4 linked regions of the Astyanax mexicanus genome follow. The protein of the gene in region 4 interacts with the protein of the main gene of each other region in a pairwise test. Links are inferred from orthologs where the notes say so. Each region holds a gene or a part of one and is shown on either strand. Other genes may lie near its edges.

What was found.
Region 1: the proteins of cep76 (region 4) and dzip1l interact in binary tests that used the Homo sapiens proteins (3 or more experiments, as listed by UniProt). The link is inferred for Astyanax mexicanus from reciprocal best matches to the Homo sapiens genes CEP76 and DZIP1L.
Region 2: the proteins of cep76 (region 4) and nhlrc2 interact in binary tests that used the Homo sapiens proteins (3 or more experiments, as listed by UniProt). The two-hybrid records come from large-scale screens. The link is inferred for Astyanax mexicanus from reciprocal best matches to the Homo sapiens genes CEP76 and NHLRC2.
Region 3: the proteins of cep76 (region 4) and pard6b interact in binary tests that used the Homo sapiens proteins (3 or more experiments, as listed by UniProt). The two-hybrid records come from large-scale screens. The link is inferred for Astyanax mexicanus from reciprocal best matches to the Homo sapiens genes CEP76 and PARD6B.

What each region holds. Positions count from the first base shown.
Region 1 is NC_064412.1:49,698,045-49,705,938, forward strand, and holds the start of dzip1l (cilium assembly protein DZIP1L), read right to left. Parts: upstream 3,021-7,894; 5' UTR 2,748-3,020; intron 1-2,747. UniProt on the Homo sapiens protein: Involved in primary cilium formation. Probably acts as a transition zone protein required for localization of PKD1/PC1 and PKD2/PC2 to the ciliary membrane.
Region 2 is NC_064422.1:32,417,470-32,425,453, forward strand, and holds the start of nhlrc2 (NHL repeat-containing protein 2), read left to right. Parts: upstream 1-4,973; 5' UTR 4,974-4,996; coding exon 4,997-5,159; exon of another isoform or gene 5,160-5,172; coding exon of another isoform or gene 5,173-5,179; intron 5,180-5,893; coding exon 5,894-6,046; intron 6,047-7,984. Other genes in the region: dclre1a (DNA cross-link repair 1A protein), read right to left, coding at 3-146, 1,003-1,121, 1,327-1,460, 1,937-3,340, 4,132-4,537. UniProt on the Homo sapiens protein: Required for normal embryonic development.
Region 3 is NC_064420.1:34,154,139-34,161,031, forward strand, and holds the start of pard6b (partitioning defective 6 homolog beta), read right to left. Parts: upstream 3,002-6,893; 5' UTR 2,670-3,001; coding exon 2,607-2,669; intron 1-2,606. Other genes in the region: fkbpl (FK506-binding protein-like), read left to right, coding at 6,033-6,416, 6,759-6,893. UniProt on the Homo sapiens protein: Adapter protein involved in asymmetrical cell division and cell polarization processes. Probably involved in formation of epithelial tight junctions.
Region 4 is NC_064413.1:38,478,172-38,485,594, reverse strand, and holds the start of cep76 (centrosomal protein of 76 kDa), read right to left. Parts: upstream 3,010-7,423; 5' UTR 2,808-3,009; coding exon 2,745-2,807; intron 1,023-2,744; coding exon 864-1,022; intron 35-863; coding exon 1-34. UniProt on the Homo sapiens protein: Centrosomal protein involved in regulation of centriole duplication. Required to limit centriole duplication to once per cell cycle by preventing centriole reduplication.

The sequences.
Region 1 (7,894 bases), on a different chromosome or scaffold from region 4:
GTCCCTTCACGCTGACAGAAGTTACTATTGATTCCTTTGGAATCAAGTTACTGAACCGATTCTTTTGAACAGTCTATTTCTATAAACTGAAACTCTCATGGTAAATCTACTGTATATATATGAAAAAAACATATTAAAAATAGACTGCTTTCAAGCTTTTTTTTTGCTTTTTTCTCTTGGTGATATTATTGCTTATGATATGATATGGCACACCCCTTACATATAGCCATAAAGACATAAAGCCACCCAGTACTGAGCTGTGGAGCAGTGGAGCTGTGTTCTTTGGAATGATGGAGCTCCATCCAATACTTTTGAGATGATTTGGGGAGTGCCAAAATCAAGCAAATCCTCATGGGGAGGATCTGATTACAATCAGAGTGTTACTGGGCTCACAATGTTGGGTTATCATCACTTCCTTTTCATCTCCCCTTTACATCTCCCCAGTTTCTCAGCTCATCCTATTCAAAAGTATTTGGCAGAGCGCCATCATTCCAGATAAGTTTTATTGTCTTATTACTAGATTTTTTAAAACTGCTTTGTGATAATATCAGTTGCCAAAATTCATATACAAATACATTTTAGTTGATTTGATTGGGTAGAGAATGAAGAAGTTTCACAATCCTAATGTTTTGTGCTTTACACCTTGTTTGGTGCTACTAAGATTTTATGTTTTGTATGATTTTGTTTAAAGGGCATTAAAGAGAGTAAGGGTGGGACCAAATATATATTCTATTATATGTTATTGTGATCGATTGTATCACTTTTGTTTGCAATATATTATTGATTTGTGGTGTGAGACTCGCTCCCCAATTAGACTTACTAAAGTCACTGCTTCATTACTCCACGTGGTGGTGCTAATCAAATGAACAGGGTAAACCTGCATTGTCTTGCACTATATCACAGATGTATAAAACCATGCACCAAGGCATTCAGACTGATTATACAAACATTAGTGAAAGAATGGGTCACTCTCAGGAGCTCAGTGAACTCCAGCATGGTACCATGATAGGATGCAGCACCTGTGCAACGAGTCCAGTTGTGGAATTTTCTCACTACTAAATATTCCACAGCCAACTGTCAGTGATAGTATAACACAGTGGAAGGCAGCAACTGTCAGTGTAAAATAACATCACTACACACTTCCAAACTTCATGTAGCTTTAGATTAGATCAAGAACAGTAGAGTGTAGAGAGACTCGTGAAATGGGTTTCCATGACCGTGCAGCTTCATCTAATCCTTACATTACCAAACACAGCAATGCAAGCAAGTGAATACTTTTGGCAATATAGTGCACTTAAAGAAAACACAGCCAAATGTTTGAACACATCTCTTCTCATTCACTGTGTTTACTTTCTTTTTATATTTTTTACATTGTAAATGTAATATTGAATACCATATTAAAGCTATACAGGAACACATGCAGAATTATGTGAAGTGTACATTTAGCTTATATTTTCTCAGTGTCTAGATGAGGTAGAGTCCCTTGGAATAGTTTTTTTCAGCATCTTGAAGGAGTTCCTGGAGGTGCTGAACAATAGTTAATGCTTTTCCTTCACTCTGTGAAGCCCCAGCTCATCCCAAATCACCATGTGATCAGGTTTATGAAGCACAAAGATTGTTTTACTGTTTACTTCCTAATTCTATATGTGTTCCTTTAATTGATTTCTCTTTAATCTGTTTAATATTAATCTACAATGTAGAACATAAATTAAGAAATAAACAGACTGAAAGAGAAGGTGTGCCTAAAGTTTTTCAGTGGTAATGTATACTGATGTAGCAGTATTGTTGCTAAGTCTTCATTTGTGTTTTATAATTAGTTATTTTATTTGTAAGCACAACAAGACTGCTGCTCTATTTATTAGTACATTGTGCGGTGATAATAACTTTTCACCTTATCTTAGGTGAATCGTTGTGTGCCCGAATCAGCGTTCAGAACTCGTTCAAATGAATCGATTCGAGTCATCGCTGGAAGCTGGACGTCGTTAACTTCGCTCTTTTATAAATATATTAACCTAACATGCTGGTAAAAAAACAAAAACACATATACTATCGCATATTTTAGCACCTACACGCATAGACAGCACGATATTAATAAAAACAAAGCCTCTACAGCTTAAATTACTGTTAACTCTAACGTTTCCGTTACTTATTACATTCATCCAGTGATGGTAAAAATACAAGAATACTGTGTTTTTGTCTGGAAATTATTTGCCATATCACTTTTGAAAGGGTTAACGCCAGACTTTCTGTGAGGAAAATATGCGAAAATCCAGCTAGAGTTAGTTGGTAAGTTAGCTACTATATCTTACAACAAAATAAACCTGAATAATCCTGCTTTTACCTCATAACATTTAAGTTAATCCAAGATTATTCTGACGAGTTTAGCCTTTAGTTCGTCTTCCAGAAAGTAGCTAACGTTAGCTGGCTTTAGTTTAGCTAGGCTAAGTTATAAGAACTGTTTGTTAATGGTCCGTGGGTATCTAGCTATGCTAAGCTAAGCTAAGCTAACGGTTCTAACTATTGTTTATTTAGCTAGTTAACTAACTAAGTTACAGTTTTCAGTTGCCGTTCGCCCTAAACACGCTTCTTCCCTAATTTCTAGAAAAACTGGGACTATCTTTAAAGCCTTCCCAGCCTGTGAGTGTGTTTACGGAGTATTAAAAAGAAAATAAACGAATTAAAACGAGGAATAAAACTGGAGCATCTGAGTTCAGCTTCAGTTAACGTTATATAACAGGTAAACTTACCTGAGCTCCCAGACTCCTCCAAAGTCAAAGTCAAAGTGGTTTTTATTGTCATTTCAGCTATATAAGTTACAGAGTACACAGTGAAACGAAACAACGTTCCTCCAAGGACCATGGTGCACATAAACGAGGTTAGCAAACTATCGTATCTAAAGCCGAGATAAGCAGAAGTTTCCAGCATGGCTCTGAAGAAAAGTGTAATTTAGGAGTTTAGAGTAAAAACAGGTTATTTAGAGTGTGTAAGTCAGTGTGTTGGAGTGAGGAACAGCTGGTGGGTGGGTGGAGTAAACACACACAGTTTCCTTGGAGATCTGCTACAGTACAGAGTATGACAACCCAGCTTAAAGCCAGGCATGGTTCATTATAGCTCTGCCTGATTGTAAGTTAATGATGTTTACCATTTAACTTTGAATCGTTTAAAAAGCTATTAGTGCAAGGCTATATTAGTCTGTTTTATGGTCAGAGGTTATGCAGTTCAAGAGCACGCTGATATATGTTAATATAAAAGAGAATAGCATGATATAATGTAATATAATGCTGCATTAGCAGATCAAGGCAAGTCTAGACTAGTAGCTAGGCCTATAATAATTACTTACAGATGTGATTAATAAATGGACATTTACTGATATATGTTTAAATCCCTGTTGAATGACTTTGGGACTTCAGCACCCAAATCAGCCAGTGCATCAGTAAAATAAACACAAGAGGGAGCTCTTGCTATTTAGCTGAAGTTTGGTGTCATTTCATGAGCCTGAACTATGCATTCTAATATTCTATTATAAATTATACTAATAACCAGAAAGAAAATCACTTTCAAAATCTTAAAAATATATATAAAACATATACAATATATATATTTTAATTTATTAATTAAAAAAATAACAGCCACCCCTAGGGATGTCACTCCATATAGAAAATAAATATATTGTCGTTGTCCAATGAAAAACAAGTAAGTTCCTTTTTGTGGATTTTTGTTTACTACATAATTTGGACACACAAACTGTCACTTACACTGTGTCAACATTTCTTGTTGAATGGACAAATAGAATTTCTCCAAAATGACCTGAAATTAACTATTTTTATATTGACTTTTATCGAAAGTTAAGAAGTTTTTATTTCTCTCTCCTGTAAATTTGCCATTTTGGAGATACTTGTTTTTCATTAAACAGTGACAATATGTACAATGATTTTATGAAAGACAAATGGAAATGGCCAAATATGTATTTATCCTTAATATACTGCGTGTGTTCTTTTAAACTAGCTTAGTTTATTGAGAATCAAAACAATATTTATCACCTAAACAGTCAGGCATTTGAACATCAGCCATTTACATACCAGACTAACTAAATTAGGATGTAAGGATATCATATGTGTACCATATACAAAGTTCCATTCAGTCAAAGCATATTCTCATAGTATTATTAATATTGTTGGACTGCATTTGCAATTTTAAATGATATGTTATTTACAACAATTGTTTCAAACACATTTAAATTAATTTTACAAGTTAAATTAAGTAATATATCTGTAATATAACATATATAATCAAATATAATCAATATATTTAATATATTTCTGATCTGTGAGGGACAATACAGTATCTTGTGCTAAATAGGCCAAAGCTATTCTAGATAATGCAGCCTTACCGTTTAGTTAATATTAGTTTCTTTATCAGTTTAAAACCTAAAGAGATCAATATGGTACTTAAATTGTCATATTTCTATGTAAAATCCATTGCCTTCTACCCAGCTAAAACAAGCCATGCTCCACAAATAGAAGTACCGGTAGTCTCACATGCCAACAGCACTAAACACTAACACCACTATCACACACTGTATAAAATATCCCACTGGAATAGTAACAGCGTCCCAGGTTCAATAACAGTCTGCAGTTTGAAGTACTGTAAGGACAGTGTTTGTGTAATGGCTGGGAAACTGGGGATAGATAGAATTTATCCTCTTTATATATACAGTATTTCAAAAGTAATCTATCCCTGTCCAAATTTACACTGAACTAGACTAAACTGGATTTCTGACTTTGTTTCAGTATTTGATTTGGTCCACTGATTGCTGAAATATTGTATTAATTATTAATAACACATTTATAGATATGGGCTTAGAAATTGTTGTCAGTGTGGCTTTTCTAATTCATAGCCTCACAGATTTCCTATTGTGTCTAAAACTGCATGCACTTTAATTGTGGATTTTTTCCAGTCTGATTCAGAGATGTCAGAGATGACATTATTCCTTTAGGTTACATTCACATTACCAGGCTGAAGTGACTCAAATCTGATTTTTGTTCAATGTGTCTCAGATCACATTTTTTTGTTTTTGTGGCTGTGTGAACGTAACAATTCAGATTTTTTAAATATCAGAGCTATCATTTGAGCCACTTTCATATGTGGTCCTAAATCGCATACATATCCAATCCATGGACAAGCGACATAAATGTGAACGGTCAAATCAGAATTCATGCGTCTTTTTGCTTTTACGCATGCGCTACGTTTTTCTCTCTCGAGTAGGGGTGGGCAATATTATATCGTATGCAATATATCGTGACACAGAAATATCGTGATATTGAAAATCCATATTGTGATAATAGGGCTGTTCTGTTTTAAAAGTAGTCTATTATTTACTGTGAAGCTTTAGGTGTATGTATTGTATAATTGTATTGTATTGTATATTTTAGAGCCATATCACCCACCCCTACTCTCAAACAAAAGATGCTCCACATATGAGCTGCTAACTCATTCATTTCCATTTATAAAGCTACGAGTCGTCTCTTAAATATGATGTTTTTTACTGTTGGTGAAGAAGGAGACGTTTATACAGGTATCAATGTGCGCATGTGAGGCATTTCAGGGACACATTCATTCACATTACCCACACATACAGATCACTTACATTTGTGAATGTGAACCGTAAAGATCCAAATACGATCTGAGCAAAAAATCGGATTTGAACAATATGGCTTGTAATGTGAACGTAGCTTTAGTTAGATAGGTAGGTACGTAGGTAGGAAGGTATGTACAGTGGTGCTTGTAAGTCTGTGAACCCCTTGACCTAAAATCTAAAACATCATCAGATTAGATGAAGAGAACCCAGTAAAAGAAATTAGATAAAAAATATTTTACTTGGTCTTAATTTATTGAGAAAAAATATATAATATTACATATTTGTGAGTGGCAAAAGTATGTGAACCTCTAGGATTAGCATTTAATTTGAATGTGAAATTAGAATCAGGTGTTTTCAATCAATAGGATGGCAATCAGGGTTGAGTGGGCAAACTGTTTTATTTAAAGAACAGGTATCTATCAAAGTCTACTCCTCACAGCACATGTCTGTGGAAGTGATCATTGCATAATAAAAAAGAAGATTTCTAAGGACCTCTGACAAAGACGTGTTGATGCTCATCAGACTGGAAAAGGTTACAAAACCATCTCCAAAGACTTTGGGCTCCACCAATCCACAGTCAGACAGATTGCAGTGTGCAAATGGAGGAAATTCGAGACTCCTATTTCCCAGGAGCCCAACAAAGATCATTCCAAGAGCAAAGTGTGCAATAGTGATGTAATATTGGATCATTTTCCTCAATAAATAAATGACCCAGTGCAATTACTTGTTAACTGGGTTAATCTACTTTTAAATCTGATGATGTAGCTTATATTTATGCAGAAATATAGAAAATTCAAAAGGGGTTCACAATCTTTCAACAGTTAATGAGCAGGTGCCCCAATACTTTTCCATATTATGTACCTGGCTACATTAGTTCTCTAGCTCTGTTTGCAGTCAGTGGTCTCTTTGGCCCTGTTGGTGCAGTTGGCAGTGTATCCCGCACACATGCTTCGTTCCCTCTCTGTCTTCAGGACGTTTTAATAGATGTATCTTGTGCATGCTCTCAGCTTGGATGCCTCGTCCAATCCTGGTGAACAGGCCCATCCCTCACTGTCTATTTAATGAAGTGATTGTCTTGCCTCTCGAGTGGGGCGAGTGAAGCTTTCTCTCTGTCCGCTCTGTTCTCCTAGAAGCGTACTGATACTCTATCAGAGTTACTGAAGATCTGGAAGTATGGAAAACTGCATATGTGCTGCAGATCAATACCTCAGCCAATATGCTTATGTGCAGCTTACATTGCTGGAATGTGAGCTAGATAGAATATACAGCTCTGGAAAAAATAAGAGACCACTTAAAAATGATGAGTTTCTTTGATTTTACTAAATTGAAAACCTCTGGAATATAATCAAGAGGAAGATGAATGACCACAAGCCTTCAAACCAAGCTGAACACTGCTAAAGCAGCATAAGCATTACCTGCTAACTGTGCTAGCTCTTGCGCCACTCAGAGGGAAGTAAATCGGACTGTAGCCTGCACATTTACTGTGTTAAAACAAGCTACGTGTGACGAACCGCTAGCTAATATCACCCTGGCTTACCTCAGTTTAGCTCTGTTGGGCGGCTAATGCTAATGCTCCAGCTAATGCTTTTCCCTTTTTCTCCCCAATTTATACGGCCAATTATCCAACCCACTCATTAGGACTCCCCCTATCACTAGTAATGCTCCAACACACCAGGAGGGTGAAGACTAACACATGCTTCCTCAGATACATGTGAAGTCAGCCACGGCTTCTTTTCGAGCTGCTGCTGATGCAGCATTGCCGAGCAGCCAGCGCGCCTGGAGGACAGCGCAGCGGCTCGGCTCTGATACATCAGCTCACAGATGCCCTGTGCTGCAGACATCACCCTAGGAGTGATGTGGGGAGAGAGCGCCATCTACCCACCCACCTGGCCAATTGTGCTCCCTCTGAGCACCGACAGCTTAAAGGCAAAGCTGCATGAGCAGGGGTTCGAACCTGCGACCTCCTGCTCATAGTGGCAGCGCTTTAGACCGCTGGACCACTCGGCGCCATTTTAGTATAAATAAACGGAAGAGCTTTACTCACCCAAATAAACAGTTTTCAGGAGAGAAATCTGTGTAGATTAACATCCAGCGGTCGTTTGACTTTAAATGAATGTCTTTTTTAATACAGTTTTGTTTACTTAGCTTAGCTTAGTTAGCTACCCCACCATCACCCAGTGGCAAGACCTGCTAAATTAAAAGTTCCCTTTAGTGTCTTTTAAAATGCGCTTTATAATCCGGTGTGTTTTATAGTGC
Region 2 (7,984 bases), on a different chromosome or scaffold from region 4:
ACGTGGTATCCAGATACAACGTCTGAACCCTGAAGCCCTGCAGCTCTGGGTAGCGCTCCATAGAGGGATCAGCCCGGAAGTCACCTGTGTGGAGCACGGTCTGGCCATCTGGCAGCAGAAACAGCAACATAGCTGCCCCTGGACAGCTGGAAAGAAAGCGTCTCAGTGCTGCATGCATTCACCAAGTAGTAACAAAGTACAAATCGACTGAAGCTATTAGATACAGTGGCATGCAAAAGTTTGGGCAACCTGGTAGAAAAAAAATCTGTGACAGTTAATATTTAACTAAAAAAATGTACTTGTTGAACTATTGTAAATGCATTTTGTAGTCAAGCTAAAGTCCTTCTATGCTGTATTTCTCTTTTGCATTTTTTACTACAGATTTCGGTGAGATTTCTTTTTTTTTGCATGCTTTACTAATTTGATTTCTCATTATGTTTAGGTTAAAAGTCTGTAAGGGTCATGCCAAAACTCCAGCTTGCATCTTCTGAGGTCTATTATAGATGGTGAGATGTGTTTATGAACATTATCCTTTTCCATTCAGTGTTTTTACAACGACAACGTAATGTTTACTCCCCTTTTCTCCAAACATACTTTTGCTCAATGTGGCCACAAAGTTTTATTTTAAGCTTTTCAGTCCCCATGTGCATCAATCTTGGTTATATAATCTATTAGATATATCTAACACTGAATTTCGTGATGTGGATACAGGGTTTCGTCTAATGACTCTTTCAATAAGATAATTTTTATACATTTTTTATACTACGTGTTTATATTGTTTTTGTCTCTGCTGGTCCTGCTAACCTCCAATTCTTTATTACCTTACCCAAAAGCACTTTGCTTTTCTCTCAAATTGAATAAAACAAAATAGAACACTGATCTTCCCTCAAATGTTTAATCTTTTGGATGTAGCATTAAACATTTTGACCAGAAGTCCCCATATTTTGCATGCCACTGTAAACATAGCATTGCATAGTTAAGTATAAATGTTTCAGTACTCACTGATTAGCATCCAAAAGGGTGACCTTTACACCATCCACCACACAGTCCGTGTTCATTGGAAGAATGTGGACATATTGCTCATCCACTTTCAGCTTACTCTTCACCAGGTTACCAGTTATCTACCATAACAGAAACTTATCAGCCAGCCATCGCAAAACAATTTAGGTGTAGTATCATAAAAGCAATTTCTCTGCTGTAAAGGATCTACTCCAACTTATCCACCTACTCTTCATGAACTAAAGCAGGCTTTATGAGATGAGCACATGCAACAATAGCCCTTGGCCAACCCACATTTTATTTTAATGCAGAAATAGAGATACTCACTTTATTGCAGTAGATGGGAAGTGTGGACCTTTTTGTGAGTCCTCCATAGTGATCAGAGTGGAAGTGTGTAAGAAAGTATGCTGTAATGCCCTCAATGGTTCCATACTGAAACGCATCGACTACAAAGCCAGTTCCTGTGAAAAGACAGATAAAGAGACTGAGCTAACTGAACTACCTGTATGACATAGAATTGTGTCTCAAATCAGGATTATTGCATTGCCTTGGCCATCCTATTACTCATAAAATTAAATATTGCATTAAAAGTGTCAATTTTATTATTCTATTAGTTGATAAAGTTACACTTAAAAAAAAACACAACAGAAAACTAAAGGGAAAACAATCTTTAAGTTCCTACCATCAGAGAGCTGTGCAAAAAAAGACGTCAGATAAGTCTCTTGCTACTTGATATTTATTCATTACTATGAGACAGTGGGAATGTATGTGTTCTTAGGCTGTGTGCAACTGAAGACAAAAAAAACTCCTTGTTTAGGCAAACTTACTTGCCCAATTTCAATTATGTAAAATTTGATAAATAAAGAGACATGAGTAAAAGAAATGTGTGACAAAACCATGCAGCTCAAAACAAATAAGCAATAACACGCCAACCAACCAGGGATTTTCTTGTAGAACGGGCATCGCCTGGGCTCCACTGGTCCTCCATCTGTCGCTCTTCCTCTGTTCCACCTCTTCCTCCCCCCTGCCCTCACTCCTCTGCCTCCTTCTGTTTGCGTGGGCTGAGCAGCTCCTTCCTCGACTGCCTCCGTTGCTGTGGACTCTTCGTGGACTGCAGCACTCTTCCCGCGCTGTCTACCCTGACGTTTAGTATTCCGTCCTGCAGGTCCAGAGCTCTTTCTAGGAGTAGAGCTCACCTCTTCCTTCACTGAATTAACCTTCTCTTCAGCCTTCTTACTCAGTGGCTTCAATCCAAAGAACACACCAATATCAGTTTGCTTTAACCCAGAGACCTTGTTCTGGGTTTTACTGGGAGTAATGGTGGAGAGAGACTGGTTTTTGGTGGTGAGCATGGTGGAAGGCATTTCAGAAACAGAGTCTATTTCTGCACATGTAGAGTCAAGACTGTTGAAATCTGCAGGGTTAGATAAATGATCACGAAGGCGCTCCAACACTAAACTTCCAGGAGACTGTAACTGAGTCTTGCTCCCTTTACCTTCACTGTCTTTTACCAACTGTTTGTATTGCGAGGGTTTAACACTGGAATGAGACCCAAATGCTTCATCAGCAACATCTTCAATTGGGTCTAAGGACTCTAATTGATCACAGGTGGTCACAGGCGGAGCCTCCGTACTGAGAGAATCTTCTTGGCTTCTCTCAAACTGCTCCAAGACATCAGAGAGTAGACCATCCTCACTCACAGTCTCATCAAACAGCATCAGTGAGTCATTATCATCATCGTTATCCGCTTCTTCTACTGCAGTACTCTGAAACAGTTTTTTCTTACTACAGATAACATCTGTTTCAGCAGGGAGCTCAGAAAGGGGAGAGTAGGAAATATAATCATCATTATCATCATTGTTGTTGTTTAAAGCAGAGGGTTCCTCTTTTACTTCAACCGTCTGAACAGCACAGCAGATGCCTTCTGCTTTAACAGGAGTGGAACTCCTAATTTTAGGTTCCTGAGATGAACACTGGGATCTTGATACTTTGGCAGAGGGGGACCAACCTTTCTTTTTTTTAATATCCTCAGGGTCTGGGGACCTTAGCCGCATTAACGCATTGGGTTGACCAACAGGTGTACAAGATTGCTTGGATCCATGACTAGGAGAGGCACTCTGGCTGGACACTGAAGAGAGATTCACCGCACTGTCCACCGAGCTCTCTTTTCTAGAGATGATGGCATCACTGACATACAATGTCTGCTCCAGATGTGATTGGTCTGAGGGGGCTAGTCTTGAGTCTGGGCTGTTTATTGCTCGACTATGAGCTAAAAGAGAGTGGCAGTATCTCTTGTAATGATTTGGAATGGACGAAGAGCACTGAAGACCAAATGGGCATTCTGTGAATTTCAGACAAAAGAAAGAACATAAACAATACAAATAAGATTTATTATACCGAACAAGGCGCACAGGCACAACTGGCACAATGATATATCCTTGAGATAAGTTAGGGACTGGAGTTTTGGTGGATGTCAGCATCAGCTGATTTCTTTTAGGTGTGTATGTACATTTATGAATATAACGTATTTATGAACGCAGCAAAATCTACAAGGTGCAGATAATGTAGTCTTTATGCTAGAGACCTAGCATCACCTAAATCTTCAGCTCTGCTGCAGTTCAATCAACATAATCAAATACTGGTTTGAAATGTCAATCAAACCAACTGTGTTTTAGAAACATCTGCATCTGATTGATGCGTAGACTTGGTCGAAATTTTACCCTAATAGTTGCAGATTTATTTATAGTATACTAAAAAGGACCAATCACAGCTGACTGCACTACTACATTTTTTTGTCTGACTATGCAATCTAAGTGTAAGACTATTTTACTTTTGTTTTTATAAAAATAACAAAAGGCTTTTTTTGTCTGCTGACATATATAAAAGTGAACAGTATTTTAGCCAGTTATAATATTATGTCAGTGGCATTTTATTGTTTTAAAATGACAATAATATTGTTTATCGCAATAACTTCTTTGATGACAGGCAATCCCCAATACTATAATGACCCTTGAATCTAATATCAGTGTACATTCCTTTAAGAAACATTTAAGATTATACAGATAACTATACGGACTAACAAACATGCAGTGAACATGCATTTAATTATGTAGGTTAGTCATATAATCATACCTTTACTAGTTTCTCCAGGGGTATCCAAGCACTCAGCAACATGCCACCGTTCAGACTGGACCACCAAGATAGAAAAAGGCATTTGACAGATTGGACAGTACCCCTGGCTTTCTGTATCACCCTCAGGAGAAGCAGCAGCCTGTGTTTCAGGGTCTGTGGTCAGTGATCCGTTTATACTGGTGTTCTGTACAGATTCCTCGGGCAGGTGATTCCTGGTGGAAGATCCATTACAGCCCTTGTTTTTGGCATTTTGATCTTCTGTCTGTTTCTTTGCCTTCCCTTGCTTGTTCACCCTCTGTCTCTTTGCTGCGGACTCGCTGCATTTTTGTGACTTATTATTTTGTCTTTTGGTCTTTTTAAGAGGTTTATATTCCCAGATATCACTTTCTGAGTTACTCTGTGACATTTCACACCAGCAGCCACCAATAACAGCAGCTCTACCATTAGCCTAGCTACAGTTTTAAACAGCTAAACATAACGTTTAACACAAACAGACACACATTTCAATTAAAACATTGTTATCGTTTGGCAGATTCATTTATAACTCGTTTATTTAGTTAAATATCCCTCTACTACTGTAAACATGAGTCCTGTTACATACACACTTACCGCCACTGAGGAGAAACACCTCCTCACACATTCCCATCAGCATTTTCTCCAAACAATAATAATACAGCAACTCTCAAACTGTACACTTTATGCGTGTGTGGCTTAGCTCTATGCTGCATGTGAGCGTAGGAGTTTTTATATATATATAAATATGATTATGTGACTAGCTGTGGTTATTTTAGTTGTCATTATGTTGAATGTGCTGATCGCGTCCCCCGCGCAGTTCTCCTCTCTGTTCTCCGCGGTGCTCGGAAACATGGCGGCCTACAGCAGCCTGTCGACTCTGTTCCCGGTTCAGAGCGAGCTGGAGAGCGGCCTGGAGGAGGCGAGCGGCCCGCGGGAGAGGGAGGAGCTGGTGGCGGAGTATCTGAAAAAACTGGACCACAAGGAAGACCTGAAAGTTCCAGATTTTGAGGAAGGTTCGAGTGGAAAATGCTGAGTTACTGAGTTCCTGTTTTTAACTCTCTGTCTCTCTCTCTGCTGTGGCTTTCTCTCCTTTTCTGTCTCTGTCTGTCTGTTTTTTCTCTCTCTGTCTCTCTGTGTCTCTGTCCGTCTCTCTCTATCTCTCTCTGTCTCTGTCTCTGCCTGTCTCTTTATATATCCATCTCCCTCTTTTTCTGTGTCTGTCTCTCCCTCTCTCTCTTATGTGTCTCTGTCCGTCTCTCTCTCTTTCTGGCTCATATTACTGTCAGACTGGAATAAACAAATATAGACTGTGTTATGCCTAAAACGACCCCACCAATACAAGTACTTATGCAGTTTTAACTAGTTAAAAACTCAAATTACACTACTCTGTAGTTTCTACAAATACGAGCCGCTCTGCTATAAAAAAATATATTTCATAATTCATACTAGTAAAAAGTCCAAGTTTACATATTTGTAAGTTACTTCTGAATATAAATGTTCATTCAAGATTTTTCTAACATAGTCTTGACTGCTTGTAAAGTGCATATCGAATAAAGTAATTGCTGTTTCTTCTGTTTTTTGAGTTTCCCTGCTCCCAACAGGCCTGTTCTTTATAATCAGCTCTTTAACAACCCTTACCATACGCCCTGGTAATGAATATAGTGCTACTGAACGTATTTTGTTTTGAGCAGTTAGTTGAGCTTTTCTGTGTTGTTGGTATATCAGTCTGACTATTGTTTTACTGCAGGACTAGACTGGCTGAACACAGAGGGTCCTCTGTCTCTGCAAAAGGAGTTGGCAGGGAAAGTGGTGGTCCTGGACTTCTTTACCTATTGCTGCATCAACTGCATGCACTTACTGCCTGACCTGCACCAACTGGAGCAACGTCACACTGTTAAAGGTACACAAAGACACACACATACACACTCACCTAGCTATGTCCTCTTGTTTCACCAGTGTAGATAAAGAGGTAAATATTGGTCAGATTAAATCATCACTCTGCAGTAGCCCAGCAACTTACCAAATTGATGACCAGTGCACGCCCCTTCTAAAAAATATAAGAATACTCAGCCCACATAAGTGATGATGACACGACAAAGTTCTTTAGTCCTGCCTACTAAACTAAAATTAGCTAGACAGACTTTCAGGTGGGGATATGCCATTAGGCTAATGCATATAAGATTTAAATTTGCAACTGTGTAGATAATGGAGAAAGAAACACTTCTGGTAGACACTCCTTGATGATTGTATATATTCTTATAAATGTGTTTGGCTCCAGCTTTATAAGGCTTTAACAAGGTTTTTGAAAGTTAGCTTTAAGTGAAAGAACCCTGAACAGTCTGATAAAGACTTAATCCAGTGCCAAAATCTTTTAATAGAGCTGGTCCTATCAGTTCTACTAATCCTAATAACGAGCAAGTGCAAACCAAATCTTTTCTGAGCTGGTTTTTGCTACATGTATCATGCATTATTTTACAGCTCCTTTATTCCATTAGTTAAAGCTGTTCAGTGCTGCAGGCAAATAACCATGCCTGCAAAAAGCTGACTATGCTACAGTGCAGATTTAAGGGTGTCCTGTGAACAAAGAATCAGATTTCACACATCGAAAACAACAGCTTCAGCTCTTAAGGAAAAAAAGAGATCTGTCAGCTTTTAGCTAAGCGGCTATAAAAATATTGGCAGGTATCATTACTGTAACATTGTAGCATTACATAATTTGTCAAGTGTATACATTTATTACTAGATAAATTACATTTTCATGGCCAAACATGATTTATTCTACAACTATCAATGCACTATGCATTTTAATGCTCTTTTCTTTGAAATAGATTAATCTTTACTCACACTGTCACTGTCTCTGCTCCAGAGTTAGACACTAAAAACCAACATGTAAAATACTCAAGCCACTTCAGGTGGCAGTCTCAGAAGCATTTGAGTCACATGTTATGGAAGTGTAAATGCATCTGCTCCCAAAACACAACTGAAACACCAGTATTAATAGCCACAGAGCAATCAGATTTCAGCCAAACTAACTTTTAAAAGCATGTGTTTTTTTATAATGACACAATCCAAATACAAGTCACATGACATACCTCTAAAGATGTTTAGCATGAATTGTGATGGTAAGTTGATATGTTTAAGTAAGAGCATGGAATCATCCATTTAGGACAATAATCACAAACATCTATTTTGGATCTATTTTCCCAGAAAAAATGTGATAACCAATAATATTGTAATTTTAAAACCATACTAGGTCTTGTAACTAGTAATATAGTGCTCTGTGGAATCAGTTTTATTTTTTATTTAATTTTTTTTTTTTTTTTGCCGCATTTTTAGGTTGTTAGTCGAAAAAAAATCTAATTAAGCACATGCTCTGTGATTCATTGAAGCAAATTTCATTAAAGTATTCATCATTAAAGTATTTTAATCTGTACAATTCAATTGAATTTCAACTTAGCAAATTAATTAATTAATAACTGGCACAGACCTAAAAGATCCCTGTAATGAACAGAGGTCTGTAACAGATGTTGTATATTTCTAACAACACTAGACCCATTTATTATAGCTCCTATTTTATTCACCTGAAAATTACTAAATAATTATAGGAGACAGGCACACATGCCAAGGGTTATTTTCAGGAGATTCTAAACTACTCAAATAATAAATATATAAATAAAGTAACATCATTCTTAATACTTTTAATACATTTATAATATTAAATTGAAATATTGACAGAATTTGGATATTTGACCATATTTTGATCAAAAGTTTATTTAGTAAAATCCAAATAACATCAAATAATCATTTTTTTTCATTTGTTCTTTAGCATGTTTGGTAC
Region 3 (6,893 bases), on a different chromosome or scaffold from region 4:
CAAATCGTAGCCTTATGAAAACAATTTAACATAAGAACTTTTTCTTATTACTGAAATAAAGCACTAAACTGCTATAGAGCCATTCTTGGTCCAACAACAAAAGATCATATCAAAAAGTACACCAGCTTTAGCAAGTACACTCACTGGTACAGTATGTCTTGTTAGGCAGTAATTAATTAAGACAGAACCCTTGAAAACCTTAGTAGGAACTCTACTTTAAATGACTCACTTTTCTTAAATACAGAAGGTAATAATGCTAAATCACAGACAAAACTAGCTAACTAGTCATTTTAGAAAGAAAACTAAACGGCCTGATTCATTTTTAGGTAGTTAGTTAAGGCTAATATTTTAATACTGAGCACAATCATTATAAACACCACAACGAGAGGTAAAAGTTAGAAGAATCATTAATTTTATATTTAAGCTTAGGTTAAAGCTGGCTAAGCAAAACTTGTCCTGTTTAGCATCAGTTAGACACTTGACTCCAGTGAGAAAGTAAACACAACCGGGCTACAGGGCAGTGTTAGCTTTAGCTACAGGTGAGCTAAAGCTAACACTGCAAGGCCAGTAGTCAGCTCCAGCTTCCGATTAAACAAATTACTTACTAGCTAACTTAACACACACCCTTCACTGTAGTTAAAATAACCCCAGGCGCATGCTGTAACAGTATTTGGTCTTCGTCACAACCTACACAGTGGAATAAGCTTAGTTACACACAGACTTTAACTCTGTCTGCATCTGCTTTTTGATTATTACCTTAACCTAGTTAATTAATCCAAAATAAACAGCAGCTGAACCTTTCTATAAACTCAATGACTCACAGCAGGTTGTGTAGTTAAGATAACACCACCAAAAAACAGGCTTATAGAACTGCTTAAACGAAATAAACAGACCTTAAAACATAATCTTCAGAAAAAGTATTCTATTAGTTACTGAAATAATGAAGCACCAAAATACTGTAAAGCTATGCTTGGACAAAAATACATGCTATTGTACTAGCTAAGAAGTATATTTACAAAAAGTACACTAGCATTAGTAGTACACTCACTAGTACAGTATATCTTGTTTAGTACTATGTCATTGAGACACAACCCTTGAAACCTTACTCTAGATTAAAAAAAACATTAACTGAAGTGTATTGTTTTCAGTTGGTCAGAACATGTTCAAATGACTCAATTTCTGAAATAAAGAAGATAATAATGCTTAACAGCAGAGAAAACTAGCTAGCAAGATCATATTTTAATACTGAGTCATAAACAAGTCAACCACCATCATTATCATCACTACAGCAAGAAAGAATGACAGGTTAGGTTCAAGTTAACCCAAGGTGTTTCCTTAATAATATAGGTATGCTTATTAACGACATTTTGTCTTAGTTATAATCTACACCGTGAAATAAGCTCAGTTACACACAGACTTAAACACAGTCTGCACCTGCTTTTTGATTATTACCTTTAGCAAGTTAACCAAACCAAACTTCTGGAATCTTACTATAAACTCACTCACTTATAGCAGGTAACCTAACACCACCAAAACACAGGGTTATATAAATGCTTAAGCAAAAGAAACAGACCTTAAATAAGACATAACATTATTATCAGAAACTATTAGAAACTAAAACAATAAAGCACTAAAACACTATAGAGTTATGCTTGGCCAAAACACATACTATTGTACTACAGATTATATCAGTAAAAGTACACTAGCATTAACAGTACACTCTACACACTAGTACAGGATGTCTTGTTTAGTACTATGTAAATTAGACCCAACCCCGAAACCTTTCTCTAGATTAAAAAACTCAAACAATAAGTAAAATCTATTGTTTTCAGTGGGTCACAACGTGTTCAAATGACTTAAAAACAGACAAATTTTAATTTTAATATTATTCACGAATCGTCATTATCATCATCTAGGTGTTTCATTCATTTCATATTTAGGCTAATTTACAGCATTTAGTCTTCTTCATAACCTACACAGTGCAATAAGATTAGTTACACACACAAACACAGTCTGCACCTGTTTTTTGTTTATTAACGTTAGCTTAGCTAGTTACTAGTTAGTTAGCTATTTAAATCATTAATCCAAAATAAAACAACTGATTTTTTTTATCTAGTGAAGCTAGTGAAACTCACACCACCAAACTTCAAACTTCAAACAAAATGCTAGATAATAGATAGCTTAATATTCCTCAACAACAGATGGGTAACTAACCTAGCTAAAGTTTAAATTAGTTAGCTGAGATATATTAGCTAGCGTTAACTAGGTTATATAGCTATACATGCTTGTAAGCTAACTAGATGAATGTAAGTTACTGAATCTACCGTCGCTACGACGCTCAAGTTCGAATTTTCCGGTCCACCTTAAACAGCGCAGTAGTTCCATACTGGCTTTACTGTTTAGGGTGGACTGGAAAAGTCGAATAAGAAGCCGACCCAACTTCAGCTTCGTCGGTTTAACAATGTGAAGACACTTTTTTAAGGTAGCCCAGACAAACACGCTGTACACAAGAAAAATCGGCTAATCGTGGCTCGGGCGAAGCACGGAGACTCAGCGTTAATCCCTCCGCCGCTGCGTGTAAGAAGTAAATTAGCTTTGCTGCGCACCTTGCTCTTCACCTCCACGGCGCTCAGAGTCCGGCTGCTCGGCACTCGGTGGTTTTTGTTCATCTTTCGCTAACTGCGCCCCGCCACAGCACACACTTGCCCTCCTCCCGGGGCTGCTGCACTCATTCGCCTGGAAACTCGCTCTTTCCGTCGCTTTTCTCCACTCGATCCAGGTAACGTAAACCGGGGAAAACGTTGATGTCCGGCGACTCCTCCGCTCCGCGTCCTGCTGTGCGGCTAGCTGCCTTCCGAGCGGAGTCGCGGTGACAACCACAGTCAACAGAATATCTTCCCAAACTCTTCTCACCCCCCGCCCTGCCCAGCTTAGCCTTGTCTGTCTGACTGTCTCATACACTCTGCCACATAGCTGCTGCTCTACTGTACTGCCTGTGACGCTGCCTGCGCGCACCCAGGAAACAGCCCCAGCCTCGTTCCTTAAAGCGCGCCCCCGCTGGCCACTTTTGTCCCTCTACCTGCCCCCATACCTCCATACCTGTACCTGTCCTTGAGTTATTTATTAACAAAACAACATTGTGAGCCTTTCACAACTAAATAAATACTTTTATGTAAAGAGTCATGTCCATTCACAGGCAAAATGTGTCCAAAGCATTTATATTAATTACTCAGGTAGAATTTATTTTTAATTGTTCTTCTATTTTTTTCCATTTTATCCCCAATTAACATGGCCAATTACCCACTTTACTCATTAGGACTCCCCCTATCACTAGTGGAGGGTGCCACCTCTGATACATGTGAAGTCAACCACCTCTTCAGCAGCATCGCGCTCGGAGTAAAGCTCATTGACTCGGTTCCGATACATCAGCTTACAGACGCCTTGTGCTGAGTGACATTACCCTTTGGAGTGATGTGGGGGGAGAGCATGGCTAATTGTGCTCTCTCAGGCCTCCGGTAGCGGATGGCAAGCTACATGAACAGGATTCGAACCGGCAATCATAGTAGCGGCGCTTAGCCCGCTGGACCACTCGGAGCCCAGGTAGAAGTATAGTAATATACTAGGGTTAAAAAATACTTCTGTAGAAGTTGAAGTATCAACTCAAGCTTTTTACTTAGGGAAAAATATAAAAGTACTGGTTAAATTACATAAAGTAAAAGTAAGGAGAAAAAACGCTATTAAGAACAAAAGCGTAGGCCCTCCCACAGGGGTCTATAGTGCGCTACCTCACCTCTCCAAAACACATTTTTCTAAAAGCAATAATGACTATGATGTTATATTACAATGTTTAGGGTAATGATTTTTTTCATACAATACAAATATATTAAAGAACCCTAATTCTAAATAACTTTTATACAAGGCTACATACATCTGCTATGTTCTTGCTGAAGTGTGGCGTGATATGTGCAGGTGCGATCAATTGCATTCAAATCAATTGGGTGTCGGAATGCTATGTATGGATGGCACAATTTATCTGTATAAACTGAAATTAAATCAATCTGAAATGAAATAGGTAACGAGTAGCAAGGCTATTTTTTAAATTTAAGGAATAGAAAGTACAGATAATTGCGATAATTGCGTTAAAAAAAATAAAAAGTTAGTTGAAAAATAATTACTCCAGTAAAGTATAGATAATCGAAATGTATACTTAAATAAAGTAAAGTATTTTGTAAAGCTGAAAAGTACTTTATTGCTTGACAACTCACCTCACAGGATTATTCACATGTGTCTTGAAGGGCCCATATTGTGGAAAACATTTATCTACCTTGTTTATGAAAAACAGAAAATTTAAATTAAACAGGTGCATGCTTACACATCCTGTTGACTACCCTATCTGTACAACCCACATATGTTAAATTAACTGTAAAAACAGCCCATATTAAAATGACTGTTTTTGTTATATCACACAGAAACAGTTACATATACTAAGCCTGGCAAAAGTCAAGGGACAGAGTAATTAGTATCATACCAGCATTAAATGCAGTAAGAGTTTCTGGGAAAACACTGATGACATGGCTCTCTAAAAAAAAATCACTGATTGTAGAAACTTCACAATCAGTGAATCACTTGGAGTGTGTGTCTCTGATGCTCAGTGATGGTTTGGAGAGTTATGTCATCTGCTGGTGTCGGTTCACTGTGTTATATTAAGTCCAAAGTGCAGTGTTTTCCTGAAAACTCTTACAGCACTCTATGCTTCCCTCTGCTGAAAACTTTTATGGAGATGCAGATTTCATTTTCTAGCAGGCACACTGCCTACACTGCCATAGGTACCAATTGGTCTTATATAGTATTCAAATTTTCTGAGATACTGATTTTTGGGTTTTCGTTGGCTGTAATTAGCCATAATCATCAACAATAAAATAAATAAACGCTTAAAATAGATCACTCACGCGTTTAATATATCTATATAATATATGAGTTTCACATTTTGAACTAAATTACTGAAATAAAGTAACTTTTCAATTATATTCTATTTTTTTAGATGCACTACTAGTACGAGCTCGCCATCTCCTGGCAGTAGTAGGTGGAACAGGCGCAGCACCGCCCTTTCGCTCCAGACCTGCACGGGGCGCTGGAAAGTCGCGTATTAATACACGCTTCTTCTCTGCCTTCACACCGCGCGAGGAGTAACATGACTAGACAGACTGCTGGAGCATAGTTACAGTTATCACCTGTCTGTAGGTTGATAATATATACTTATATTATTTTACATTCACACACACATGTGTGTTTTAGATGTGGAGACTGGAGCAATGGATGAATGAGAACAGTGGCTAAATCTGCTGCTTGGTCATCAGCCTGCTGTCTGTCTGACTGACTGTCTGTATGACACTACAGGTAAAAGTAGACACTGAATTTAATAACCTCTCACCTCTCACTTTAAAATATACCTACTTTGTAAAGATAGTTTTGTAAAAGCTCCATAGTGTGACAGTGTTTTAATAGGGCGTGTCCACAAGATAGCAAGCTAGCTAATACTTTAATATGTTATTTTGTTTTTTTATGTTAATTAAATGCCCTTATTACAAGAAGTAGTCGTAGTTTTGTGAACCTGATGAGTTTCTTCGAATTTACCAAATTAAAAACCTCTGGGAAGATTGATCACAAGCTATCAAACCAAGCTGAGCTGCTTGCATTTTTGCACCAGGAGTGGCATATAGTTATCCAAAATCAGTGTATAAGACCGGTGGAGGAAAACATGCCACGATGCATTAAAACTGTGATTAAAACCATGGTTATTACACCAAACATTGAGTTCTGAACTCTTAAAACTTTATAATATGAACTTGTTTTCTTAGCATTATTTAAGGTCTGAAAGCTCTGCACCTTATTTTCTGCAAATAAATGCTCTAAATGACAAGATTTTATTTGGATTTTTTATATTTGGAATTATCAAGTTATTTTGGCTAGTTGGGTTCCAAAGATCTCCATAATTATTTGTCTCTTTTTACCTCAGTTTTAGGGATTTGTCTATGGCCACGACTACACACACAAAAGGTGACGTCACCCCTGATGCCCCATGGATATCAGTTACCCCTGCTGGTCTGTGGCAGGTGCAGAGGAGATGGACAGGAGAGAGAAAACAAGGAGATGACACTCCACTAATGGGTTCTGTATGCAAAATTAGAGTGTACCTCAAGACCCACACAGAATCAGACACCCAACCACCAAGCCTTAATGAAACGGAACCGGCGGTCAGTGATGATTCTGACAATCAAGTCACACAGCATCCTCGCTCCCAAGATTCTGTGCTGCAGGTGCCACTGGACAGATGGGTCCTGTTGCGCATGGGAGAGGGGCAGTGTGACATTGTAGAGAGCTGCTTGGAGAGAATGAGAGCTGGAGAGAGTTGTGAGGTAGGGACAATGATGACACACAAGTATCACATAGTAGACACTTCAACTTTAGTCTCTATCATATTGTAAATCATATGTGTCAAAATGGTTCCCACAGAAATAAGCATAATATGTTCTCAGATGGTTTCATGTTTGCTTATCTTATTATGTTTGAAGATTAAATGCACCTACACTATGGGGCAGTTTTATGGACAGGGACTAAGCCCAGTCTAAAACTATATTTTTCTTTCAATGGAAAAAATCAATTTAAAATGCTTTGTAGTCTAATATTATGCTAAGTCCCATTAACATACAAGCAATACACTGCAAATAAATATATATTTACTGTGCTTTTAATTCCAGTTCACTGTAAAGGCCCATCCAGAGGATTCCACACAAACTTCCATGGATGCAAACGGCCCCCTGACAAAAAAGACGGAAGAGAGCAAACAGTGTCAACATTTTTCTCTGCAGCTCCACTCTTTCACTCCTGGACAG
Region 4 (7,423 bases):
TGTTGAGAGCATCTGCTTCTATTTGTGATTCTGTCTAAAGAAAACATAATCCCTAAAACTTTGTAGTAACACCAACAATCATAGAATTGAAGTAAAAAAATATAGCAGAATAGCAAACAAAACCATAAATTAGGTATCCAAAATGTGATTCAAAACTGTCAGAATGTTGTGTATATATATATATATATATATATATAAAACTCAAATTCCCAGTACAAACAAAGACAGATACAGAAATATGGCACACTATCAGTGGTCTATTGCTGCCAGGACACTAAAGATATAGATTAATCCTGGACCACAGTGAAATACTGATGGTAAATCACCACTTTAAGGGAAATTTGTTGAGGCTAAGGTATAACCTGGTCTGTCACAGTACAACTTTTGTTATATTTTGAGTTGTGGGTAATCTGGCCTCCTGTATCATTAAAAACTTTTTAAAGGGGCCTCAGCTCAAACTTTAAAAAAAATGGGAGGGGTAGCTTCGGAGAGGCACTGGGTGATGTATGGGTTTAGAGGCAGGGCAGGAGGGAGATCTGATTGGCTGAGCAGCAGCAGCAGCAGCAGTGTGCCTATGATAGCAGTGAGAAGCAGATGGTTGGACGTCACTGACTGATTGACTGATTTGCATGTTCCGATGTGTCTGCATACCCAAGTACAGCGACACATCATCCTCACCTGAAAGGGCACTGCAGAGGCGGAAATTACCACAATAAAAGCGCTTTTTAAAAATAGTTTAGGGTTCAGTAGTTCAGTAACTCTCTTCCTAAGCACTAAGGCTGTGTATTGGCAAGAACAGTCAGCAATGTTTGCTTGTGGGCTAAAAAAATAAATATTAAAAAGGTCTGTATTAAGTATCTTACCACATTAACAAAACTCAGCTCCTTCATGGCCTCCTCTACAATGCCTCTGCGCTGGAGAGCAGTGAGAAAGTCTTCCTCAGAGAGTGGTCGTTCTCCACGGTCCCCTTCAGCTTGCAGCGTCTCCGCAAGGACACCTCGAATTTTCCCATGGATATCCATCTGATCATATAATCATTAATATTACTGACTGGATCCACAGACATGTGCATCAAACCACATCCACATGAACATAAACTTCAGGATCAGTAAAAATATCAAATTGGAATGATAAACAGTAAAAACAGGAAAATACAGCATCCACAGTGTAATTTGTCCAGTGTATTATTTGCACCTCTTGATTAAGATAAGAACTAAATCTGGAGAGGGTAACCATAACTGTGACACAACGCTGTGAAATAGTCATCTACTTTAAAATAAAGTTTTTAATAAATTAGGTACATATTTATTTACTAAATATCACAATTATCACATTTAAACATCTTCTGGGCATTTAAAGGGCAATTAGATCCCACATCCAGCTGTTTCTTTTATTTTAAAATGATGAAGGATATGGCAGAAATAACTGACTAATCAACTAATCAAAAAAACACCAGATTAGTCCACTACCAAAATAATTATTAGTTGCAGCCCTTTCCACCAGTATGACCTACCTGACCTATCTGGTTAACCAGCTTTAACAGTATGATCAACTTTACTCCCAGCTTGATCAAGTTCTTCAGGCTTATAGAAGATCTAATCCATCAAACTCAAATGAACATGTACAGTTTTTGGGCTGAACAATAAGCATTAACACTGCAATAAGTGCATGCTTAACAGCCACATTGAAGGTTTTGCAATGTGTTTATTTGTATGTTAGTTCACATATAAAACAGAGAACAGTATTTAGGTCAGTCATGCTATGACCAATGCCTGTGACCTATACACACAGTGTGAACTGCAGTAGGTGAAAAAAGCATGTATTTCCGATGGAAGACTAAAACATGATAATTACAAAATAGTTGTCTTTTTTAAAAAGGGTATAATTGCTTTGTTATGATATTTTACTGTCATTATAATAATAGTGGCATTTAATAGTTTTAACATTATAATAATATGGTTTATTGCAAGCATTTCTGGGATGATGAATCATACACAAAATAATGCTATATGATTAGTCTTATTATGTTATTATATTATGAGTTTTGAATATATATGTTCCAATGTCCAAAACACCGGACCCTACTATGCTAGCGGTGGTGATAAATGATAAAGTTATGGTAAGCAACCTTACTGAAGCTTAGTGATTACCTGTTCAACATAAACATAGCCAACTCACCTGTTGCTATGGCTGCAGCACCCTGTCTGTGTGCTGTTGTCTTTACCTGGCAATCCTGAGTGTGGAAATTGGATTGTGGGAATAACAGTGGGCAGGCTTCAAGCCTAAAAACCCACACAGATTTTCCAGAGTACTGCACAGTCTTTGCTGACAAGAGCTGCCAGTGTTTAAACTCAGCATGTTTCTGTAATATCGGATGATACATCCTGGTCAAAATACCGTTTAACTGTTAGTCCTTAATGGTCCTTTAAGTAGTAACAACTTAAGCTGTAGCTGCAGTAGTAGCAGCAGTATGAAGCTCTAGATCATTTTAAACAGTATCAGTGGTGGCTAGATGTATTATTAAGGGAAAGTGTCAATAGTGAATGATGATATCTAGCTAAGTTAGGTTAGTAACCTACATGTAGAGTGTAATTATTGTAGTTCAATTCGTTAGCCACTCAGCAACCGGTGCTCCTGCTGCTCCACAGCTCTCTGAGCCCAAACCTGATTCAAACACACACTTAGTTGCAGTCAGGCCAGACAATCAGTTAGCAAACAGAGAGAACCTGGGCGACATACGTTACCTTCATTAAATGATCCTGGATGATCTGCTTCAGTTCTGACGCTTTCTCCGGTGGAAGAGACATGTTTAAACCAGTTTAAAGTGTATCTAAAACAATAAAACGACTAAATTAAACTTAGTGTTTTCAAGTCAGTATCCAAAACTCTTAAGACAAACTCGTATTTAGTGGTTTATTACAGCTACATTGTTCAGTGTCGCTGTTTATTTCAGTTATGTGTCAGATGTCACAATCAGCAGCTCCGCCTCCTCCCCTTCGCCAGTTTAAATCCTGGCGGAAAGGCCAGCGGGAGACTGGCTTCTTCGAAAGCCGCACTATTTTACCACGTTTTAAAACATTTTAGACAAATCGTTAAATACTAATGTAATTCATAACTTGATCTAAGATTATAATTTAAAATTGGACCACACGTATTGCTTAAGCGTCGGTTTAAGCTATCTACAATTCAGTCAGGCGATACTTGGACAGCTATAAAATGCTGTCATGTTCCAAAGACCCTTTTGTAGTTTTTTTTCTGCAGAGTGTAGTTAAAAAACGATTCTGGTCTCCTTCATTCTTGTTTAAAGCTCTGTCAGAGATTTATTGTTGGTGCTCTTTTATTTATTCTTTTTTGGGGGTTTGTAGCTAAATACATCCCTTTTAAAAGGAAGTACGTAATGTATAATACGAACGTTTGACCAACCAATATGGCTAAATATGGTATTCTCTTTGAAATTACCTTTAAAATATAAAAAATGTCCTATTCATTGGTCTTATTTATTCACTAACAAATAGAAAATATAAGGTTTATTTAAATATAAACTGGTCGATATGAATGTCAAACTCATGCTTACAGTGAATTTCACTAACAGCAAAGAACATTGATTAAACATTTATTTTTGGTTGCATTTTTTTTGTTGATAATGAAAAACATCCGTTTTTCAACATTACCGGATTAGGCATCATTATATACAGCTCTGGAAAAAAATAAGAGACCACTTAAAAATAATGTGTTTCTTTGATTTTACCAAATGTAAAAAATCTGGAATATAATTAAGAGGAAGATGGATGATAAAGCCATCAAACCAACTCTGAATTGCTCTCTTTATTTTTTCCAGAGCTGTATATAAAGTAGCTTCAAATATTACCTCACTATATTAGCCTCACAACACCAGGGTAAGTATAAGCCTAAATTGTGCCTAAAGTATTAGTGTTAATGCATGTTCACTACGTTAGCCTCATAACTCAGGGTAAGTTTCCACTAATTGTTTGCTAATTAGCTACATTAGCCTCATATTTTCATGGTGTGATGGCGCTAATGTAAATACATTTTAGTAAGCTACATTAAGCTCATGAAAAAGTTTAAATACAAGCTTCCACTACTTGTTAGCTAACAACATTAGCCTCTTCGGTCTAGTGCTAATTTGTGGGGTATGAGTTTTCACTAGGTGTTATTTAGCTAGCTTTTCAGTTTCAGAGTTATTAAACACTTAAGAAAGCTTATTTTGTTTTATTTTAAGTAAGTTTGCCTTTTCATTTATATGTGAAAAGTACTAGGAAATAAAAACAATTCAGGGTAAATATTATTTACTGCAAATTACTCTCATTTTATGGCTTTTACAGATTTGTCATGGCAGTGAAAAATGTTACTGTAAATGTTACTAGTTTACAGTAAAAGTTTTGTTAACATTTGTTAAAGTAATTTACTGGCAGTTTTTTTACAGTAAATTCTACAGCAGTGTTTTACAGTGTACATGGCATGTACATGTCATGACCAATACTGACACGTGGATCTTATATAGCTAAACATATAAATTTAAAGAAATTACTTTTAAACATGAGTTGTAAAATATAATGAGCAAAAAAAAAAATTCTCTGTTGTGACAAAAAGTTAGGACACCCCCACATTTATTACTATTTATTATTACTAATTAGAATAAGGATAGGCAAATTAACCTGAATCAGCTAATCATAATAGACCCTTCACATAGTGCACCTAGTAGACCAAAACCTTCTTCTGTTTGCAGGACTGTTGATCATGATGTGTGAGAGAAACTGGAGATCAAGCTCAGCTTCTGGCCTCAAAGCACTCATCCCTGTACCTGAACTGAAACAAACCATGTCCGCTGTGGAGACACAAGCAGAGACCCCAAACATGAGTAAGAGAGAGAGAGAGTACAGAGCTGTGACAGAATGAGAGGAAGACAGATGGACAGGAAAGGTAAATGTCAATACAAATACTTGCTAAAAGTTTGCAAATAAGAAGAAGTTCACAATTGAGGGAGACATGAGAAATTTTTGACTGACCCTCTCTTGTGTTAACAATACAAATGCACTGATATTAACAAACAAATACTACCTGATATAGTTAAATAATAACGATAGTAGACTCATTGCTAAGCCTGGGGCATTTACCCAAAGCCTTTCAACTAGCAGTAATTAAACCATTGATAAATAAACCATATGGAGTTCCCAGCAGGACTTTACCAGGACATTTCCAGTTCATATTAACCACCAAGCAGCACCCAAAAAACGACCTGCTTACCTTTCCACCACTGCTAGTAATATTTTTCTTACTGTAGTTACTTAAGGCAGGATAACAGAGGGAAGAAAAAGTTGTAGGAGACAAACCTTTATGTAGTGGACTTTATTATTACTTTATGTAAAAATAAATGCATTTTTAATAGAGAAAATGACCAAAATAAAAACAGAAATAGTATTTGTCCTGCTGTCCAATGTCACATTGGCCAAAAATTGAGTAATCTAGGTCGGTAAACAGGAAAGCAAATACAAAAAACATGCACTTTTGATAGTACATTTCTCTTAAGTTCTATAAGATACACACATATAAGTATATGTATACTGTAATTACTGTAGAGAGCACCATAAAACACAAGTGCAATATAAGATCATTGTTTCTAGGTGACCAGAGTGTAAAATTATACAATTTGTGTTCAGAGATTTGCAAAACTGTGTTTTATAATGACAGTTGACTGAGAACACATAGACTTGTACCTAACATTTTGCAATTTAGAGCTATGTTTGTGATACACCAGTTTTCAGAATTTTGTGTATGCAATGGAGAAAACTGTTTCTCCTATTTAAAATGCTTTGGATTCAGAACGTTATTCCCGTATGAATGGTTTACGATGCACAACCATAGAACCAGTGAACTGTCCTTTTCTGTGTCCTTCCAAAGTCCATCTGTTCTGACTCACATTGGCACTGCGGCCCTGTCTCTCTTATGGCATGGGGCAGGAAAATTCCTCCCCATTTGGACAACTTGTTGTTTGCTTGTTTTGCTTCTTCTCAGGAACACATTTTAGGGGATATATAGATAGCACCATGTTGATGCCCTGAGGCTTTTAATAAACATGGAAAAAAGGTTTAATCCTCGTCAGTCAACTAGCAAAACTAACTTCTGAGGGTTTATCTGGCATTTTGAACCTGTACCCTTCCCGCTCCACACATGGCAACATGTTCACTTCAGCCTCATTCATCATCTTCTGGGCATTGTTTTAGTGGCAGTACGCATTGTGCTGCTTAGTCTGCTGAAGCTTCACCCTTTTCAGCTAGTGAGTGAAAAGACTGGGTCTCAGCTCGACCCAATTGTGATCGTCACTTTAGATTACCCTAGTTTTGAATTTTTAGATCTTTAAGACCAAAAGATAAAAGTCAGGTGAAGCAAGATTTCAGGGAACAGGGAAACAGTAACTTATTTATTATTTATTATGTGCTGATGTCATTATTAAATGGCATTTGCATTTAGAATAAATGAGAAGTAAAATAAGAGGATGTGATCTATGAACAAACATAATAAATATGATTTAACAGAAGTAGAAGGAATAAAGAGCCTAATTAAGACAATATAAGGTAGAGTTTATTTAAGATTTTTTTTACACACATGCGGTGTATATTGTTTACTTTATAACAAATCAGTTGTACGTATCTTAGGTACCCCCCAGAATGGGTAATGTAGGTTTTTTTTTTTTTTTTTTTTTTTTTTTTTTTTACTTTTTCTGAAAGATTAAATATAAATTATTGCTAAAAAAAAAAAATCAAGTGAGATCAGTGAAGTTAAAACCTGTGTTAGGCAGTATAGTCTGTGTAAGTCACACACACCATCAGGACTCTTTTAAATGTTCAGTATTTTACACAGTATATCTTTGTGTCTACAGTAAGCGTGTAGTATATTTTAATTTATATTTTAATTTATTTTTCTCTCACAATCTTGTTTACAATAATAATAAAATGACCAGTAACAAATCTGGATCCAGTAAAAATTATTATTAGTTATATAATCAAATTGGGCCCATCTTCCCATATGTGGTTCACTGTTCTTGACCAGTGGAAATGAATCAGTCTTTCCCGTTTGGAAACTTAATTAGATTTTACCATGCCAGCAGTAGCCACTTCTGCAACACACTGGATCAATTCCAGGAACTGAAGCTGTATACGGCCTCCCATTTGGTCCACATTGATTTCACTAATTCCACAAATCATTTTTAAGTTCAGGCAACAGTCCTTGAAGGAAAAATAAAATCTATATTTCTAAACAGCTTCCAGAAACCATGGCTCTAGTTGCATTGATCATGACAGGAATTAAATATATAACCCTACTATTTCCAGGGTAGCCAATGTAATTTAGAAACGTGTACATTCTATTAAAACTCTACTCAGAATAGAGGTGCTCTTTTTGTTTA